Macaca fascicularis: one gene and its partner. The protein of the gene in region 1 purifies or fractionates together with the protein of each later gene. This does not show direct contact. Links are inferred from orthologs where the notes say so. Each region holds a gene or a part of one and is shown on either strand. Other genes may lie near its edges. The genes, in order: IPO4 and ASF1B.

Region 1 (10,389 bases):
ACAGCACAGGGAGCAGCCGAGACACAAATTGGGCTGAGGCGGCACCCAGGCCCTGAATAGTCTCTGCCAAGGTCCCCACTGCAAAGGACTTCTCTGCCACTGTGCAGCCCTGTTTCTGATGGGGGAGAACAGGAAGGAGTACAGATCAGCCTGGGCCAAGGATAAAGGCTGAGATGGGCACTGGGTGCATGAGGGGACTAGGGCTTGAAGCCAGAAGATGGACACTCACTGTCTTGCACACCAATAATGGCAGGAAACCAGCAAAGAATGGGGCAAAGGAGTCTCCCCCAGCCGCAGCTGCCAGGGCAGGGATGGCCTCTCCAGCATGCTCCAGCAACATGGCGTCGTATTCAGCCTGTGGAGCCAGGTCAGGGGCTGGAGCACCAGGGCCAGCTCAGTGACTGCACACCTCCCTACCATGCTCTGCTACCAGCTGCAGGGGTCCCTGGGGCTGCCCTTGGTTGATAGGGCTGGTCCCTCTCAGACCGGGTGTTTTCATGGCCCAGCTTCTTCCCCTAGCTCTTCTGCTCCTGCCTATCGCTCTAAGCACACCCCAGTCCACACTGCTCTCCTTCCCTGAACTCCCACTGGCTTAATGGGATCAGGGTTGTGTCTCTCTGACCATTACCAATCTCTTTTAGTGGCCCTGGCTGCCCCAGGCCAAGAACAAATACACCGTCCACCCCTGTCCCTGTGGAGACTGCCTGGACCACCTGGTCCCAGTTTTCATCCCTGGCGCTCACCTGATCATCATCTTCCTCTTCCTCCTCCTCGTCAGTATCCTGACAGGCTGTCTACAAGAAGAAGCAGCTCAACTTAGCCAGAGCTTTCATGCCCCTTCTCTTTTCATCGGGGTATGGGGGTGGACTTGTAGCCAGTCCCCAACCTGGGCCTGGCACCTCTCCTTCCCGAAGCCCACCTGCCCTGCTCACCTTCCTCTGCAGCACAGCCTTGAGCATGCTACAGAGCTCAGCCAGGCGCCCAGGGGGCTTCAGAGTGAGGGTCCCACAGCTGCGGAGCACCCCTGTCAGGGCCTCCAGCACGGCCATCACCACCTGGCGCTCCCGCTCCCTGTTCACTGAATGCATGTAGGATGGCACCACTCGGGCCAGGGCAGCCTGCAAAGCTGGGGACATTATTGGCTGAAGCACTGGTCAGGCCCTGCCGTGCCCCAAGAACCCTCAGCCTGGCCCAGCCTCTCCTTCTCACCAGCAGTGTTGGGTTCTGAGGGGCAGCTTTGACAGGCCTTGTGCAGTGCACAGCAAAACTGACCCAGAGCCTCATGGGCTGCCTTCCGCACATTCAGGTGAGGGCACTGCAAGATGAGGAGGGGCGGGATGTGTCTGCTGTGTGCACTGTGAACACAGGGCCCCCAGCCTGAGAACCCCACCCACTCTACCCACTGGCCCCCTCACCTCCAGCAGTTTAAATACTTCTTCAAAGACACTTTCCATATATGGAAGGAAGGCCACACTACAGAGAGAGACACAGTCATGGGTAAGGGGCCCCCAGGCAGGGTTTTCAGTGCCAGGGAAGGGCGAATGCTCACCTGGTGTTCACAGAGATCTCCCCTAGGGCAGCACAGGTGTCTTCCTTCTCATCGAAGAAGGCGTTCTCCACGCTGTACCTAGAGTAAGATGGGGAGGCAGTGGTGATCAGGCACCAAGAGGAGCAGATCCAGCACTAGTCCCCTGGTCTAAAACCAAAGTCTAGATTCCTGATCAGAAGAGCACCCCTCCGCACCCTGAGATCTCTGAGTCATCCTCTTCTTCCACATCCTCATCCATGAGCTCCTCCTCTTCTTCCCCATCACTCTCATCGTCAAACAGAAGGAAGGAGCTGCTCCCGTCATACTGAGGCTGGAGTGGAGGCATGGCAAGGACTTTGGCTCAGCTAGGCCCAGGAGATAAATCCCATTGCAGGGCTGGCCTGGCCCAGCCCACCCTCTGCTCACCACAATGCCCTCGGTAGAACGCAGTGACAGCAGCATGAGCGTGGTGATCTGTTCCAAGTGGGGTGCCAGGCCCTCGCCCATCAGACCCGATAAGGCGGCAAATAGGCTGTACCTGGTCAAAGCAGGCAGAAGAAGCTGTATGGTCCTGCTTGCTACCACCAGACAGGATGGGGGAGCCCGGGAACACCTGGCTATGGTCCGAACCAGAGGACTAGAGTCTGGGGTGGGGATTCCAGTGGGCCCAGTGGGCAGAAAGGAGGGGTGGGGACAAGGGCAGAGGCAGGGTGAGGGATCACTCACGTGCAGCGCCGCAAGTCAGGGTCGTCTACCTGGTTGCAGAGGCCCAGACCCAGCTGGCAGCATTCCTCAGCCAGCGGCCTCATGGGCTCCCCCACCGCTCGTGCCAGCACTCCCAGTGTCTCTGTGGGAGCATGGGCTCCATTAGCACCAGGAGGTGGAGGTGGGCTATAGGACCAAAGGTGGTAGCTGGGAGGGATTCAGATATCCCCCCCTACCCCTTGGTACAGGGTGAAGAACACCCCCTTCGATGAGAAGGAAGACATCCGTGCTCCCGTGGGGGCAATCTCTGTCAACACCAGGTGAGCATCGGCCCTTTGCTGGCACTGGGATCCCCACCTGGGAGCCTCTCACTCACCCAGGCTCTGGATCTGCACAGGCTGAAGGTCCTCACGGCCTGTTAACAGGAATTCCCGCAGGTGCTCCATGATGGCAGGGAAGTAGGGCAGCAGCGAGGCCTGGGCAGCTGTAGCTGCAGGATGGAAGGACAGAATCAGAGCTGGAAAGGGCAGGGACCACCAGCCACAGGGCCTTTGGGTGAACCCCACATCCCTGCCTCCTGCCTCTCCTCACCAATGGCTCCTACGGCGCTCACAGCCAGCTCCTTGGCCCGGGGACTGCTGGGGCTCCTCAGAGGCTGCAGCATGCATTCCATAAGCTCCGGAAGGTAGGGCTGCACTTTGGGCCCTGTGGGAAAGGATGCTCCTCTATCAACCAACCCAGATCTCCTACCTGCATGCCCACCTCCCTCCAGGCGGAAACCCCTTTGTGGCGCCATCACACACTTTCCCCCACCATAGGCAGCAATGCAAGGAGATGTACATCCTGCGCATTCAGCCAAAGCCGCTGCCTCATCCCCCTCCCCCAAGCTCCCCACTGCCATCACTACCTAAGTTCTCCACGAAATTCTCCAGGGCATAGCAGGCCTTGGCTAGGTGGTGTGTGTGTCCAAGAGGCACCGACTTCAGATAGGCGAGGAGCAGTGGCATCACCTCCCTTGAATAGCTGCTGATATGGGGCTGGGGGAGGGAGCAAGCAGGGCTTGAGTCAGGTTCACCTGCAGGGCACGTACAAGAGTGCGACGGCAGCAGGGATGCTTGAAGAGATGAAAGGTGAGGGGAAGGGGACATTCAAGTGGTGGCTCCCACATTCAGCCTGGTTCACCTGTAGGTTTTCTGAGAACTGGCCCAGGGCAAATAGCGCAGCATTGCGTACAACTTGCGAGGGGTCCTCCAGGCCCTTGCACACGATCTGCAGCAGTGGGGGCAGCAGTCTGGATAGGGCAGGACAAGAGGACACAGGCTGAGGAGCTATACCTGACAGCCCTAGGCTGACCTGTTCTCTTCATTTTCCCTGGAAAAAACAAGGCTTTTCCTGTCACCAGAGGGTGGGCAGCAGCCCCTGATCCCTACAGCTGGGAAGCCATGTCATTTATCTTCTAAGCCAGGACACTTTTGAGAATGGGGGAAAATGCTGTTGATAAATAAGCTTGAACAACAAGCGTAAACCATGACAGCCACGGTCCTCCCCGTGGGCAACCCTCACCCTGGGATAGGGGAATAGATACCTCTGCCTGATGTGGTCACCAGCTCCGTCAGACAGCACGGCCAGCACCAGGAGTCCAGCCTTACGCTGGTATGGGCTCTCACTCCGCAAGGCCTCTTCCAGCATGGGCATCTAGGGAAGCATGTGGCACGCTTCTGAAACCCCAGAAAGAGCCTGCCCATTCCTGTGGAAATAGACCTTCACACCTCCCAGGGTCTAAACGTCCTTGGCCTCAGGGGACTAGGCACACTTGGAGGTAGGGACACCAGAAGGACAGAGCCACACTTACCAGCTGGGGACACAGCTTGTCGGGGGGCAGGTGTAGCGCCAGCATGTCCACAACCTAAGATAGGATGGGGAGACTTACTTTGCTCGACTCCATCTCTGCCTCCCCAACCTCCCACAGCCACCTAACACCTTCCCCCTCTGTCCTGCCCCACATCTCACCTGTACAGCAAAATGCTTGGGAGTCTCCCCCATCAGCTCAATTTCCAACTCTTCCTCTTCTGAATCCTGGTCCTCAGGATCCAACTGGCCTGGCAGGGGCTCAGCAGCCATAATGGGGAAAAGGGTGTGTAGCAAGGGTGGCAGGAGACGATTCTTCAGTAAGGCCTTGACAGAGAAGGTGGAACAGTGTCCCTAAGAATCTGCTCCCAGGATGGGCTCACATTAAAAATTCCAGTCTTCCAGGCCATAAAAGGTCCGACAGAAAATTCCCAATCTCCCAGGCAGGAGCTGGGGTGAGGCTAGGCCAAGGCTTGAACCCCCACAGTACTTTAGATACCCTGAGATGAACTGAAAGTCCCAGGAGTGAGACTAAGGGTAGAGAGTGGGTGGGGTGATGTGTGTCAATGGGCACTCACTCACCTTGCTCTTGACTTTGACCAAGAAAGTGAGGCAGCAGAGAACACGTACGCGTATTGCATTGCCCAGGGCCACATTTCTAGCCACCTGTCCAGAGAATAATAAGAATCAGAGACAGGGAAGGAAAGTCCCAACAGAGCATGTAGCAGGGGCCATGTCCACTCCAGGCTCACCTCCAGGCAGAATGTGAGGACCTCAGAGAGGTAGGGGGTGATGATGGGCACCTCTGACTCCAACAGTTCATCCAAAACCTCAAGGGCCTCACAGGCCTTTGCCTGACAAACAAGGCACAAGGTTACCATGCTCTTCTTCAGTGGGCCAAGCTGGTCACTTTTGCACTCTTCTTCCAACAGAGCTCCTGCCCACCTGTCCTCACCTCATCTATGGGGATCAGAGTCTGCACAGCCACGATCAGCTTGGGCACCAACATCCGAGAGAGAGGCTGAGGGACACATCACAGACAGCATGATGCAGCCTAATCTCACACCCCAGCAGCTGACAGCTTCCTCATAGCCTGAATTGCGAGGAGGAGCCCAGACATAATAGCCAGGCCCACCTACAGCATCCCCTCTCAATTGTCAGGAAGGGCCACAGGCAGGTAAAGAATCCAAAGCAGTTTTGTAACTTTTACAGATGAGGACATGAAGGCCTGAGGAAAGGGAGTCAAAGATACGAGGGCCCACATCTCACCACGTCTTCAGTGCTGAGGTAGGGGGCCATGGTGGTCAGAGTGCGCAGGGAGTAGAAGAGCAGCCCAGGAGAGCCCACCTCACCAAGAGTCTCATTCAGAAGCCGAAGCAGCTCCCGGTGGTGGGGTTGGAAGGCCTCGGGCCGGGAGGTCACCACCACACTTAGCAGCAAAAGCCCCATCTGTCCAAGAATAGAGGATTGGAGAGCAAGCTTACATGGTCTATCCCACCTCTTAGTCCCTCCCTCCTGCCAACCATGTGATGGTACCTCTCTCTCTGGGCTGTGGGGGCTGTGGGTACTGTGCTGAAGAAGCTGCAAAAGCTGTGGCCAGGCCTCCAGGCCTTCCTTTCGAAAAATGGTGGCTGAAAGCTGGGCCAGGCTGAGGCTCACACAGTGCCTGCAAACAGGAGAGATCTCCTCTATCACTCTCCAATACCTTCCTCTGCACACAGTGGCCAGGCACAATGGGGCAGCCAGGAGAGAAACTTTCAGGAGGTGTGGGCACAGGGTCTTTACCAAGTTGGGACACATGAGACAGCAGCTCAGAGGGAGCCCAGCAGCACTGCGGGCATGTAATCTGGTAAGTTCAGTCTTACTAGCCTGAATTTCAGTCTTATTCTTCTGACTTGAGTTTGGCAGATCATAGTCACCCTTCCTCAAGAACTTCAGTCTTCAAAACAGCCTTAAAATTTTCGCTCCACCTTGGGTCTAGAACTGAAGTCCCTGCCCCACAAGTCCCAGCCTGGAACTGAAAGGGAAGGCAGAAACCCCGACAAGGTCGTCAGGATCCCGAGAAAAGGGGGTAGGTACTTACTCTGTTTCTCTCTGCAGGGCCGTCAGGATCAGGGACTTGAGGCTGGAACACAGTGGGCAGGTGTTTGGTACACAGACTGCCCAAGAAAAGTCTCCGCCTGGCCCCGCCCCAACCCAGGCCCAACCCACCTCTCCCGTTGCTCCGCCGCCAGCCGTCGCCAGCGGGTGTTCAGTCGTCTGCGGGTCAGCACCGCCGCAAACTGGCGGATCTAGGACGAGGAAACAAGCACGTGGGGGTCCGGGCAGGAGGGTGCTGAGCGGACCGCAGGGGGCGGATATTGGGGCTTGACCAGTGGCGTACAGTGGGAAGCTCGGAGGGGAGAGTCAGGGGTCTCACCTGGGGGTCGGCCGCCGAGGCCAGCAGGTCGCAGAGAGCCGGCAAAGCGGCGGGGGCCCGAAGAGCGATCTGGAGCTGTTCCGTGGCCTGGGGGGAAGCTAGGGGTGAGAGTCGGGTCTTTCCCGCAACCTCCCGCTCGCCCTGGCCCGGTTATGCCTACTCCCGTACCCGACGGATGCGCTCGGTGTCCGGCAGCAGCAGCTCCCGTAGGAGCTGCTCCAGGCCGGCGGGCTCCATGGCAGCAGCTGAGCCGCCGCTACTGGGCCGAAAAGGGGAGGGGGAGGGACAGCACGTGGAGGCGCTGACACCCACTTCCGGCGGAAAGGGCGTTGCCACACGCCCCGAGGGTTGCCAAGGTGATTCAATTCACTTCCCACAAAGAGGTCCGACTCCTCCACTTCCGTTATGCTGAGCACCGGCTGAGTCGCGGAAACCCAGCTCTGGCAATGTAGGTTCCCCACGCCGGGAGTTCCCAAGTTGGGTTGGAGAACTCAAGCTTCGGGCATTCAGTGGCCAGCTCGGCTTTCTAAAGGACCGTGCCCTTAACCGCGGGGCTGGAGTTCCTATATCCAGACCAAAACCTCCAACTACATGATCCTTTTTCTTAACAAATTTTATTTTGATAATTGTAAAAAGAAAAATCAGGACCAAAACTAAAGGCAACTTAAAAATTTCAAATATATACTCCTTATGTAATAGAGATTTATAATTTCCAGGCCCTCTCTGGGGAAGGAAGGCCCAAAGGGCAAAGGGGAAGGCAACAATGCCATCACACAATTCAGTCAATCAGAAGAGAAGCTGGTAGGAGAGCTCAAGGAGGCATGAAGAAAGGGAGAGAACAGCAATACTTCTGCCACACAGAACTCAGTCCATCTTGAGGTTAACATAGATATACCGGATGAACTTTAGGGAAGAAAAAAAGGAGATGGTGCCCAGCATGAGGAAGAAGACATAACCAGTGAGTAAGGAGTAGCCAAAGAACTCTACTGTCTGTACTGCCCCAGACATGTTGGAGCGCCGGGCATAATAGAAAACTGAGTAGAGAAAGATGAAGAGGCCAGTGGAGCCAACACTCAGCACAGATCGCCACCACCAGCGGTAATCCTCCCCAGACAACTGGAAGTAGGTGAGTGCAATGGAGATGCAAGCCCCCACACTCAGCAGGATGGCGAAGACAAAGAAGAGGATGCCGTACAAAGTGTACTGCTCCCGACCCCATACTGTGGCAAAGATGTAGTACAGCTCTACAGAGATGGCACTGTGAAGAAAAGAGATGATACACAGCATTAAAGGGCTGTGCACAGTGGCTGGGCTGAAATCCAGCCCCCCACCCTCTCCCATGTTGCTGGGTCATTGTGAAAAGTGAGTTCACTCCACTCTCTGCCCCAGATCTCCTGGCTTCATGGGGATTTTTTGCCTATGATTAGCTGCTCTCACTTCAAGAATATCTTCCCTAATAGATTGAGGGCAGGGATCTTATCCATTTTACTTTCCACTTCATTCTTTGCCTGGCACAAAGAGGTATTCAACAAAGTAAATGGATCATCAAATGGGCTTTAAACCCCACATGATGTCCACAGACACTAAAGTCAGAAACCAGGAAGGTGAAGGGGGAGATGTCTCTGGAGGCCCTTATAAGTGAGACATTCTTATATCTGAACTGATTCAAGCTCAGTCCTGCTTGGAGATAGGAGGAACCATTTAATGATCTCTGAATGGTACCACTGAACCAGGGATCAGCGGGTTGGGTTAGGGTACTGGATGAGTAGGGACAGGAAAAGTTGAGGTCAGGAACCTGAGAGTGATAGCCATGGAATAAAGGGAGGATACCTGAAAGGCAGGAAGCCTCCAACAGTCATGTGGATGACAGTAGACTTGTACCAGGGCTGGGGTGGAATCTCCCGGGCGATGTTCTTGGTGCGACAGGGTGCATCAAAGGGGCTGGCGTTGTTCTTCCCGAAGATGCCTCCAATGACAGTGAGGGGAAAGCCCACCAGCAGCCAAACCGTCAGAAGCAGCAGGATGGTTGTGGCTGGCAGAGCCTGTGTCGAACCATTGGCCCAGTGCACTGAGTTCACCACACTCCACGTCAGGAAGAAAGGCACTGCAGGGATGGCCCCCGGAGGGAGGGTCAACACTAGGAGCTACATCTCTAAGGGTACCCACTTATATCCAGGACCAAAAGGGGAGGGGGGTGAAGCAGCCTGCCACTCTTAACAGCAGACTCATGCTCCTGGATGTCCCTACAGAGTCAACTGCCTTCACTTCCACCCTTTCAGATCCCGTTACTCTTTTTTTTTTTTTTTTTTTTTTGAGACAGAGTCTCACTCTGTTGCCCAGGCTGGAGTGCAGTGGCACGATCTCCGCTCACTGCAAGCTCTGCCTCCCGGGTTCACGCCATTCTCCTGCCTTAGCCTCCCGAGTAGCTGGGATTACAGGCATGTGCCACCACACCCGGCTAATTTTTTTGTATTTTTAATAGAGACGGGGTTTCACCGTGTTAGCCAGGATGGTCTCCATCTCCTGACCTCTTGATCCACCCACCTCAGCCTCCCAAAGTGCTGGGATCACAGGCCTGAGCCACCGTGCCTGGCCTCTTTGCTCTTAATCTTACCACCACCACCCCCCATCCCGGTGTCATTAAGGATCCAGTTAGCTACTACATAATCTGAGAGTAACACAAATCCACCTGCCTCCAGGGGCCTGTCTTGCCTTGGAGTTGGTAATTCCTAGCATGAGACATTTCTTTGGATTAAGGCCCTGTTTTCAGAAAGCCTTGGTTCAAATATAAATGTGATGGGATATAAATCAGACACATAGGATTGGGAACAAAAAGGGTTCAGAACAGGGACTACTACTGCCTTTGAAAGGGCAATCTGGTTTGAAAGCTTAGAGTGGGCCCACCTTCAAAATAAAAATTAAAGGGTGTTACTTTAGTGTAATGGGTGAGAATACAAGTCAGACTGCTGAAACCTGGTTCACTACTTTTTAGGAGTGTAATCTCAGACAAGTTACTTAAGCAGCCTTTAGTTCAGTTTCCTCATCTGTGGAATGGAAATATTACCTACTTCACACAGTTATTGCTGAGTGCTTACCACACTGCCTAGGACATATTATTTATTTTTATTTTTTTGAGACAGAGTCTCGCTTTGTCGCCCACGCTGGAGTGCAGTGGCGCCATCTCGGCTCACTGCAAGCTCTGCCTCCCGGGTTCACGCCGTTCTCCTGCCTCAGCCTCCCGAGTAGCTGGGACTACAGGTGCCTGCCACCACGCCCGGCTAATGTTTATTTTTGTATTTTTAGTAGAGACAGGGTTTCACCTTGTTAACCAGGATGGTCTCGATCTCCTGACCTCGTGATCTGCCCACCGTCGGCCTCCCAAAGTGCTGGGATTACAGGCGTGAGCCGCCGCGCCCAGCGAGGGCTTTATAATGTTAAACTATTCAAAAGAAGTGCATTCTTGTCTTTTTTGGTTTTCTTGTTTCTTTTACAATATTCCTTCCCTTCAAGCCTCATCCTGACTCTATCCCAAGTTCTATGATGTGTTCTTTTTTTTTTTGAGACAGTCTCACTCTGTCACCCCAGCTAGAGTGCAGTGGTGCAATCATGGCTCCCTGTAGCCTCAACCTCCCAGGCTCCCTAGACTCAAGCAATCCTCCTGCCTCAGCCTCCCAAGTAGCTGGAATTACAGATGTAAACCACCATGCCCAGCTAATTTTTTGTTATAGAGACAGGGTCTCACTATGTTGCCTAGGCTTGTCTCAAACTTTTGGACTCAAGTGGTCCTCTGGCCTCGGTCTCCCAAAGTGCTAGGATTACAGGTGTGAGCTACTGTGCCCAGCCACAATGTATTCTTAATTCCTAAGTCCAGAAAGGCCCACCAGGGAAA
Region 2 (10,344 bases), on another chromosome or scaffold:
TAATTCCAGCTACTCAGGAGGTTGAGGCATAAGAACTGCCTGAACCCAGGAGGTGGGAGAGGTTGCAGTGAGCCGAGATCATGCCACTGCACTCCAGCCTGGGCAACAGAGCGAGACTCTGTCTCAAAAAAAAAAAAAAAGAAGGAAGGAAGGAAAGAAAGGAAGAAAAAAGTTATAGGGCCAGGCGTGGTGGATCACGCCTGTAATCTTAGCGCTTTGGGAGGCTGAGGCGGGTGGATTGCTTGAGCTCAGAAGTTCGAGCCCAGCCTGGGCAACACAGTGATACAAAAAATACAAAAAATTAGCCAGGCGTGGCGGCACGCGCCTGTAGTCCCAGCTACTCAGGAGGCTGAGGCAGGAGAATTGCTTGAACCTAGGAGGCAGAGGTTGCAGTGAGCTGAGATCACGCCACTGTACTCCAGCCTGGGCAACACAGTGAGACTCCATCTCTACTAAAAATATAAAAAGTTAGCTGGGTGTGGTGGTGTGCACCTGTAATTCTAATTTTTGTATTTTTAGTACAGACGGGGTTGCACCATGTTAGCCAGGCTGGTCTCGAACTCCTGACCTCAGGTGATCCACCTGCCTTGGCCTCCCAACGTGCTGGGATTACAGGCGTAAGCCACCATGCCTGGCCAAGAATCATCTTACATTTGCTGAAATGGCCAGGCATGGTGAGGTGCACCTGTGGTTCCAGCTACTTAGGAAGCTGAGGTGGGAGGATTGCTTAAGCCCAGGAGTTCAAGTCCAGTCTGGACAACATAGTGACACCCTATCTCTCTTTTTTTTTTTTTTGAGACGGAGTCTCGCTCTGTCGCCCAAGCTGGAGTGCAGTGGCTCGATCTCGGCTCACTGCAACCTCCGCCTCCCGGGTGCACGCCATTCTCCTGCCTCAGCCTCCCGCGTAGCTGGGACTACAGGAGCCCGCCACCATGCCTGGCTAATTTTTTGTATTTTTAGTAGAGACGGGGTTTCACTGTGTTAGCTGGGATGGTCTCGATCTCTTGACCTCGTGATCCTCCTGCCTCAGCCTCCCAAAGTGCTGGGATTACAGGCATGAGCCACTGTGCCCGGCCAACACCCTATCTCTTTTTTTTTTTTTTTTTTTTTTTGAGACGGAGTCTCGCTCTGTCACCCAGGCTGGAGTGCAGTGGCCGGATCTCAGCTCACTGCAAGCTCCGCCTCCCGGGTTCACGCCATTCTCCTGCCTCAGCCTCCGGAGTAGCTGGGACTACAGGCGCCCGCCACCTCGCCCGGCTAGTGTTTTGTATTTTTTAGTAGAGACGGGGTTTCACCATGTTAACCAGGATGGTCTCGATCTCCTGACCTCGTGATCCGCCCGTCTCGGCCTCCCAAAGTGCTGGGATTACAGGCTTGAGCCACCGCGCCCGGCCCACCCTATCTCTTTTAAAAAAAAGAAAAAAAAATCGGGCTGCAGTGTTGTAAGTAGCGACATATGTGTATGATTGCATTTCTGAATATAATCTTTCTTTAGAATTATACATGGGACACAAATCACCAACACAGCACGAACTCATAGCTACTGTGTACAGGACACAGCTGTACACATGAGGTGTGTATCTAACCTTCTGAGCAATGTCAAGGCAACTCAACTGTGTTCCATGTTATCTCTCTGCGCTAACTTCACAAGCTAGTCCCTGTACAAGACATACCTCCACTGTGTGTGTGTATGTATGTGTGTGTGTACATATATATATAAATGATAAGACTAAAGACACGTACATGATTACTGTAGCTGAACTAGCTAAAGAGTCTGCTTCCTGCTTTTTTGTTTTTGTTGTTGTTTGAGACAGTCTTACTCTGTCACCCAGGCTGGAGTGCAATGGCGCAATCTGGGCTCACTGCAATTTCCACCTCCCGGGTTCAAGCGGTTCTCCTGCCTCAGCCTCCTAAGTAGCTGGGATTACAGGCGCCTACCACCCTTCCCAGGTAACTTTTGTATTTTTAGTAGAGGCAGGTTTTCACCACATTGGCCAGGCTGGGCTCAAACTCCTGACCTCAGATGATCCGCCTGCCTTGATCTCCCAAAATGCTGGGATCACAGGCGTGAGCCACTGTGCCTGGCCTGTTGTTGTTTTTTGAGACAGAGTCTTGCTCTGTCACCCAGGCTGGAGTGCAGTGGCACAACCTCAGCTCACTGCAACCTCTGCCTCCCAGGTTCAAGCAATTCTTCTGCCTCAGCCTCCCGAGTAGCTGAGATTATAGGCACCCGCCACCAAGCCTGGCTAACTTTTATATTTTTAGTAGAGATGGGGTTTCACCATGTTGGCTGGGCTGGTCTTGAACTTCTGACCTCAGGTGATCCACCTGCCTTGGTCTCCCAGAATGCTGGGATTATAGGCGTGAGCCACCGTGCCCAGCCTGTTTTTTTTTTTTTTTTTTTGCCTTTGTTCATAATCAAAGATCAGTCCTGCTGCCATAACAGCTTTGTTAGTTCTGGGTCAGAACATCTGGCTTCTATGACTTACTCAACCAGTGTCTGTTGAATTTCTCAGCTAAACATGGAAGCATCTATTTCCAGATGTGGAAGATAAAAGTACAAAGGGGGCTTGAGGCCCTTGAGAAATAGGAGTCACTCAACTGGGGCTTAGGAGTTAGGGTGGTTTTTTTTTTGTTTTTGGGTTTTTTTTTTTTTTTTTTTGAGATGGGGTCTTACTCTCTCACCCAGGCTGGAGTACAGTGGTGCAACCATGGCTTACGGCTTACTGCAGCCTTGACCTCCTGGGCTCATACAATCCTCCCATTTCAGCCTCCTGAGTAGCTGGGACCACAGGCACATGCAACCAAGTCCCATTAATTTTTTGATGTTTCTGTAGAGACAAGGTTTTGCTATGTTACCCAGGCTGGCCTAAAACTCCTGGGCTCAAGAGAGCCTTCTTCCTTAGCCTCCCAAAGTGCTGGGATTACAGGAATGAGCCACCTCGCACAGCTGGATTGGGGGTTTTGTCAAGATTTTCAGTTGACACTGCTGAGAGTGAGCCAGATTCTCTTTTTCATGGAGAGGAGGCCAGAAAGAGGCAGAAAGCAAGCTGGCAGATCAGTCACAGAGAGCCCTAGGACTGGAAGAGCCAGGATTTCTCACTTGAGTTTCTTGAAGGAAAAGCTTTATCATCCGGGTGCAATTAACAATAGCATTCCCTGGCCGCGTGCTTGTGATTCAAAGTGTAATCCCAGCACTTTGGGAGGCTGAGGCGGGCAGATCACTTTCGGTCAGGTTTGAGATCAACCTGGCCAACATGGTGAAACCTCATCTCTACTAAAAATACAAAAATTAGCCGGGCATGGTGGCTCAAGCTTGTAATCCCAGCTACTTGGGAGACTGAGACCACAGAATCGCTTGAACTCAAGAGGTGGAGATTGCAGTGAGCTGAGATCGCGCCACTGTACTCTAGCCTGGGTGACAGAGTGAAACTCCATTTCAAAAAATAAATAAAATAAAATAATAATAATAATAATAGCATTCCCCTTCACTGTGTTTTGAGTATCCTGATTAGGCAATAAATTGTGTGGTCATTCCTATCTATGCTCCACCTCTGAAATAGGGAATCCTTCTTCCTTTCTTTCCCTGGATCGGAGCAAAGATAAAGAACTTAGATTCAAAACTTCAGTGCCAATATTTCTACAAACTGGCTGGGTGACCCTGGATAAATCACTCCATTTCTATTAAAAGATGACCAGCAGAGGCTGGGCACGGTGGCTCATACCTGTAATCCCAGCATTTTGGGGGGCTGAGGCGGGCAGATCACCTGAGGTCAGGAGTTCGAGACCAGCCTGGCTAACATGGTGAAACCGCATCTCTACCAAAAACACAAAAATTAGCTGGGCGTCATAGCAGGCACCTGTAATCCCAGCTACTCGGGAGGCTGAGGCAGGAGAATTGCTTGAACCCGGGAGGCGGAGGTTGCGCCACTGCACTCCAGCCTGGGGGACGAGAGTGAGACTTCGTCTCCAAAAAAACAAAAAAAGGAGCAGCAGGTTGAATTTAGCCTTTCTGCCTCTAATTCTATAAATAAGTAAAGTCACAGGGCAGGGGTTTCCTAGGAGAAGTACCAGATAATGACCACACAACCATTTTTAAATGCAAGGAACACAAACAGGCTGATTGAAACCTGATCTCCTGCCGCCTGGGAGCTGGGAATCCCTCAACCTATTACTTCCTTCCATTTCCTCCTGGCTTTTAAATTAAATCTTATTCCACAGTGTCATTCTACACTTTATTTATTTATTTACACGCTGCCCTGTTCCAGAAAGGATTTAACGCGGCTTATTCTATAGTTAGCCACAAGTAGACTGCTTAATTTAAAAAGGAGCAAGACAGACCAGGGAGAGAGAGACCCACTGGCCTACCCGAAGCACATCCACATCTCACTCTATCAGCCCCAAGCTAGTCCAGGTGACCAGCTTTGAGGGCCAAACATCCACCTGCCCCCGAAAGGCACTAGTTAGCACATCCTGGCTTCACAGGCCCCCAGATCGCTACCTCCTCGGCTACTGCCTTTTCTCTTTTAACCACCAAGTAGAAAAATGGCCTAATGGAGTACTTCTTTCTGAAAGCAGGACTTGCATTTTAGTGGTGCCAAGGCTCCCTGGGTGACCTTAGATTTTGGGATTTGTACAGGCCTTGACTTGAAAGGTCTTTTGCGCTTTGTGGCTCCTGTCTTCTCATCTGTGAGATGAGAGCCATGTCCACCTTTAAGTCACACAGATTAACAAGTACATCTGCAGAAGCACCTTGGAAAAGATGTACAGGAGGCTGTGACCTCCGGGCTCCAGCTGACTGTTTGAAGCTGGAGCCTGTCACAGCTCAGCCCAACCCACTCACCCTCCAGACTAGGTCAGACCATCAAAAGCAATGGAAGCTTGGCACTGATTATCCAGCTATATTAAAAAAAAAAAGAAAAAAAAAAAAGACCGGGCGCGGTGGCTCACGCCTGTAATCCCAGCACTTTGGGAAACCAAGGCGGGTGGATCACTTGAGATCAGGACTTCGAGACCAGCCTGGCTAATGTGGTGAAACCCTGCCTCCAACTAAAAATACTAAAATTAACCGGGCATGGTGACAGGTGCCGGTAGTCCCAGCTACTCGGGAGGCTGAGGCAGGAGAATTGCTGGAACCCGGGAGGCGGAGGTTGCAGTGAGCCGAGATCGTGCCACTGCATTTCAGCCTGGGCAACAGAGCAAGAGTCTGTCTCAAAAAAAAAAAAAAAAAAAGAAAAAGGAAAAAAAGAAGAAAGAAAAAGCGAGGGAAGAACTGCTGTAGTAACTCAGTTGGAAACGGGTGGGCAAACCTGGAGAAGCAGCTAATACCTGCCTGGCTATGCCAGCCCTCAGATCGCAGTGTGTTTATCCAAGTCCACAGAAGAGGGTGGGGAAGGGGAGCTGGAGAGACCAAGTTCCCCTCAAAGACGGTAGCATCCTTTCCCAGGGGGAGCTCAAGCATAGCAGGGGTTGGGCCCCAACGAAGGAGGAACCAGGTTCCAGGGTATGTGCAATGGCAGAAAAGCAACAGCAACTGGTGCGGGTGGGGTTGTTGAAATATTGGCAGGTTGGGGAGGGGATTGGTGGGAGACAAATGGGAAGATGGGGGCGAGGGCGGTCCTGAAAAGGGGTTGAGGGGTTTTCACAGCGAAAAACGGTTACTGGTGGGGAGCGTCTTCACGGTGAGGAGGGAAAGGAGCTTGCGTGAGAGATCTCCATAGGGAAAATGGCAGATGGCTGGGATTTCCCCCGGGGAAAATGGGAAGGGGCTGGACATTCGGAGTCTCCAGAGGGAAAATGGGAGGTGTGAGTATCTCACTAAAGAGGGAATAAGTGGGCAAAAATGGGTGGGTGGCTAAAGCGCGGGTCTTGCCACAGGGAAATCACGGTGGCTGAAGATCTCCGTGGCTTAAGAAATGGAGGCCAAGAAGATCTCTCCATGAAAACGGGTACCTAGGAAGACCTCCAGATTAAAAAGATGGATGAGGTTTCCCACGCGGGAAGTGGGGCTTGACTGGGGTTAATCTTTATGGGGAGGTCGGGGCGGGCAGTGGGGGAAGAGGTAACGGGGAGGTCCGAGTTAGCTAGCTGGGGGTCTCCACCCGGGAGGTCAAGGCGGGCAGTGGGAGAGGAGGTCACGGGGAGGTCCGAGTTGGCTGATGGCGGGGAGTCTCCACCCGGAGATCCGGATTGGCGGAAAGGGGACGAGGGGTTTCATGGGGGAGATCAAGTTGGCCATGGGAGCGCTTCTCCAAGGGGAGGCCGGGGTCGGCCCGGGGGTGGGGGTCCCCGCACGGGCCCAGCCTCACCGTCCGCCAGGGCTTCACTGCACTCGAAGCTGATCTCGAACCGGAAGGGGCTGTGGAAAGGGCTCGGGTTCTCCAGGACCGCCACGTTCAGCACCGACACCTTGGCCATCGCCTCGCCTCGCCTCGCCTCGCCTCGCCGCGCCGCGCCGCGCCGCAGCAGGGGCAGGGGCAGGGGCAGGGGCTGTGGCTGTGGCTGTGGCGGAGGCCGCGCCTGGGTCCGGTGAGTGGGGGGGCGTCAGTGGGGTACGGCAGACCAAGTCCACTCCCGCCTCTTCTCTCCGCGGACTGAAGTGCGCACCTAAACCGCGGACCGCCTTCAAATAGCCGGCCTCCGCCCTCTGGCCAATCACCGCCAACGCTCCCCTGGCGGCGCGCGCACCCCCTCAGCCAATCCTGGAGCGCCAGTCGGCGCGCGCCCAGACTCCCCGGACCAATCAGCGGAGCTCCCTCTCCGCGGCGTGTGAGGAGGGCGAAACCATCTCCAGGCTTCTTAGCGTGTCCGCTGGGAACCAATCCCCAGCGTCTCCGACTCGGATGTCAACGGCGGGAGTGGACGGAGTCAGAGCGCCGGACTCCTTCTGCCCAATCCTGAGGGTTCCCGCACCGGCGTAGCCCGCCCCTCGCCTCGCTTTTCCGGGAGCTGCATCCCGCACCGCGCAGCGCCGCCAACCGCCGAGCGGTGGCGCGCGGCGCTCGCTAAAGAAGGCGGGAAGGGCGGTGCTCGCACCCTCAGTGATTGGCAGGAGGGAGTGGGGCGGAGATAAAGAGGGTTTTCTGAGAGTTGATTGGCTGGATTGGTAATGGTGCCGGGAGCAGAAGGAGGCTCAGCTGGGGATTCGCTGGAGAGAAGCGGAAGTCGAGCGCCGCCGCGGTGCTGGCGAGTGTGAAAAAAGAGGAGGAGGGTTGCGCCCTCAGCGTCTGTCAACAGGTGAGCGTAGTCTGGAGCTTTTCTGAGTGGCTCCTGACCCTTAAGGTCCAGCGGCCCTGGAGTCCGTTGTGAACGTTGCGAACGTTCGGAGTGGCGGTCACGCGGCGCCCTGGGACCTCGGGAGTCCAGCCCGGTTCGGATCCCGCTTTCGCCCACGAGGGGTTCGAATCCCGCTCTCGCCCCCGAGGGGTTTGGATCCCGCTCTCGCCCCCTCAAGGGCTCTTGGAAGGTTTCAAGCATACGGTACTGAAAATGGGAGTTTCAGTTCGGGGGCAGACCAGTGTTCGAGTCCGGGCTCTGCTACTCAGCTCCTGAGGCAGCGTCTCTCCATTCAACGGGGGCAGTGGCAATTCCCTGACATGATTCATGACCGCACAATACATCCGGAAACTTCTCTCCGCCGCATCCCGTCGCCCCCGGCCTGGGAGACTCCAGGTCGCAGAGTCTCTGCCCCCACGGGCGATCAGCTCTACCCAGTGGAAAAATAATGCCAGCCGCGCACCTAATTTTACATTTTTTGGAAACCACTTTTTTTTTCTTTGAGACGGAATCTCGCTCTGTCACCCAGGCTGGAGTGCAATAGCGCGATCTCGGCTCACTGCAACCTCCACCTCCCGGGTTCAAGCGATTCTCCTGCCTCAGCCTCCTGAGTATCTGGGATTACAGGTGACCACCACCACAACCAGCTAAATTTTTTTCTGTATTTTTAGTAGAGACCGGGTTTCACCTTGTTGGCCAGGCTGGTCTCAAACGCCTGATCTCAAGTGATCCGCCCGCCTTGATCTTCCAGAGTGCTGGGTTTACAGGCATGAGCCACTGTACCCAGCCATATCTTTTTTTTTTTAATTTAAGATTTACTTTTTTTTTTTTTTTTTTTTTGAGACGGAGTCTCGCTCTGTCGCCCGGGCTGGAGTGCAGTGGCCGGATCTCAGCTCACTGCAAGTTCCGCCTCCCGGGTTTACGCCATTCTCCTGCCTCAGCCTCCCGAGTAGCTGGGACTACAGGCGCCCGCCCCTGCGCCCGGCTAATTTTTTCTATTTTTAGTAGAGACGGGGTTTCACCATGGTCTCGATCTCCTGACCTTGTGATCCGCCCACCTCGGCCTCCCAAAGTGCTGGGATTACAGGCGTGAGCCACCACACCCGGCCTAGTTTTTTTTTTTTTTTGTATTTTTTAGTAGAGACGGGGTTTCACCGTGTTAGCCAGGATGGTCTGGATCTCCTGACCTCGTGATCCGCCCGTCTCAGCCTCCCAAAGTGCTGGGATTACAGGCTTGAGCCACCGCGCCCGGCCAAGATTTACTTTTTTTAAAAAAAATTAAATTTTAGAGGCTGGGCGTGGAGGATTTCTTGAGGCCAGGAGTTCAAGATCAGCCTGGGCAACATAACAAGACCTCATATTTACAAAAATATAAAAGAATAAGCCAGGTGTGGTAGTGCATACCTGTAGTCTCTGCTACTCCTGAAGCTGAGGCAGGAGGATCTCTTGAGCCCAGGATGCTCCAGCCACTGCACTCCAGCCTGAGTGTCAGAGTGAGATCCTGTCTCTCAAAATTAAAATTAAATTTTAGGCTAGGCGCGGTGGCTCAAGCCTGTAATCCCAGCACTTTGGGAGGCCGAGACGGGCGGATCACGAGGTCAGGAGATCGAGACCATCCTGGCTAACATGGTGAAACCCCGTCTCTACTAAAATATACAAAAAACTAGCCGGGCGAGGTGGCGGGCGCCTGTAGTCCCAGCTACTCGGGAGGCTGAGGCAGGAGAATTGCGTGAACCCGGGAGGCGGAGCTTGCAGTGAGCTAAGATCCGGCCACTGCACTCCAGCCTGGGCGGCAGAGCAAGACTCCGTCTCAAAAAAAAAAAAAAAAAAAAATTAAATTAAATTAAATTTTAGAGGGCCGGGCGCGGTGGCTCAAGCCTGTAATCCCAGCACTTTGGGAGGCCGAGGCGGGCGGATCACAAGGTCAGGAGATCGAGACCACAGTGAAACCCCGTCTCTACTAAAAATACAAAAAATTAGCCGGGCGCGGTGGCGGGCGCCTGTAGTCCCAGCTACTCAGGAGGCTGAGGCAGGAGAATGGCGGGAACCCGGGAGGCGGAGCTTGCAGTGAGCCGAGATCGCGCCACTGCACTCCAGCCTGGGCAACAGCGTGAGACTCCGTCTCAAAAAAAAAAAAAAAAAAAAAAAAAAAAAAAAAAAAAAAAATTAAATTTTAGAAAAGAAAGTTCAGTTTAGCTGTCTTGATAGCCACAGTTGAGTGCTCCTGAACCCCTGTGACAAGTGGCTCCTGTATTACTGGACAGTGAAGGTCAAAAACACATTTGACCAGGTCACTTCTCAGGATGAGAGCATTGTCTTCGAAACTATGCTTTGTCTCCTGTTAACTACCCAGCTCCAATTTCAAACCAGCCTAAGTAACCCTCTTTTTGTTAAAAATCTGACAAGTCACTCCCAGTGCAAAGCTCTGCCCAGAACCTCTTCTTCTGGGCTCTTGGCTGGCTTATGCCTTCTCGTCATTCAAGTCTCTGTTCAAATGTCCTCTCCCCAGAGAGGGCTTTCTAAGGGTGCCCTGGACAGTGTTCAAAATCACAGGCCATAAGCCTGAATAGCACTTATCAAAGGCACTAGTATTTCTTACCTAGTCACCTCTGGAAACAATCCAGTTCCTGTGGGATTTTTTTTTTTTTTTTTTTAAACAGAGCTCTGTTTCCCAGGCTGGAGTGAAGTGGCATGATCATGGCTCACTGTAACTTGGAACTCTTGGGCTCAAGTGATCCTCCCACCTCAGCCTCCCAAGTAGCTGGGATCACCAGTGCGTGCCACCATGCCTGATTTGTTTTACTTTTTTTTTTTTTTTTTTGAGAGGGAGTCTTGCTCTGTCACCCAGGCTGGAGTGCGGTGGTGCGATCTCGGCTCACTGCACCCTCCTGCTTCTGGCTTCAAGCGATTCTCCCACCTCAGCCTCCTGACTATATGGGACTACAGGCACACGCTACCTTGCCTGGCTAATTTTTGTATTTTTAGTGAAGATGGGGGTTTCACCATGTTGGCCAGGCTGGTCTCAAACTCCTAACCTCAGGTGATCCACTCGCCCCAGCCTCCCAAAGT

What was found.
Region 2: the proteins of IPO4 (region 1) and ASF1B purify together in Homo sapiens (affinity purification with mass spectrometry; 5 studies listed by BioGRID and IntAct, counting the BioPlex papers as one, with this or other methods). This does not show direct contact. The link is inferred for Macaca fascicularis from reciprocal best matches to the Homo sapiens genes IPO4 and ASF1B.

What each region holds. Positions count from the first base shown.
Region 1 is NC_088381.1:91,999,149-92,009,537, forward strand, and holds the start of IPO4 (importin-4), read right to left. Parts: upstream 6,767-10,389; 5' UTR 6,738-6,766; coding exon 6,669-6,737; intron 6,588-6,668; coding exon 6,501-6,587; intron 6,373-6,500; coding exon 6,293-6,372; intron 6,207-6,292; coding exon 6,165-6,206; intron 5,748-6,164; coding exon 5,618-5,747; intron 5,531-5,617; coding exon 5,351-5,530; intron 5,103-5,350; coding exon 5,037-5,102; intron 4,936-5,036; coding exon 4,834-4,935; intron 4,748-4,833; coding exon 4,664-4,747; intron 4,409-4,663; coding exon 4,244-4,408; intron 4,140-4,243; coding exon 4,086-4,139; intron 3,929-4,085; coding exon 3,819-3,928; intron 3,525-3,818; coding exon 3,416-3,524; intron 3,271-3,415; coding exon 3,141-3,270; intron 2,939-3,140; coding exon 2,825-2,938; intron 2,724-2,824; coding exon 2,610-2,723; intron 2,376-2,609; coding exon 2,255-2,375; intron 2,067-2,254; coding exon 1,955-2,066; intron 1,860-1,954; coding exon 1,744-1,859; intron 1,628-1,743; and 14 more. Other genes in the region: TM9SF1 (transmembrane 9 superfamily member 1), read right to left, coding at 7,365-7,758, 8,331-8,604. UniProt on the Homo sapiens protein: Nuclear transport receptor that mediates nuclear import of proteins, such as histones, RPS3A, TNP2 and VDR. Serves as receptor for nuclear localization signals (NLS) in cargo substrates.
Region 2 is NC_088393.1:14,549,758-14,560,101, forward strand, and holds the start of ASF1B (histone chaperone ASF1B), read right to left. Parts: upstream 6,603-10,344; 5' UTR 6,418-6,602; coding exon 6,309-6,417; intron 1-6,308. UniProt on the Homo sapiens protein: Histone chaperone that facilitates histone deposition and histone exchange and removal during nucleosome assembly and disassembly. Cooperates with chromatin assembly factor 1 (CAF-1) to promote replication-dependent chromatin assembly.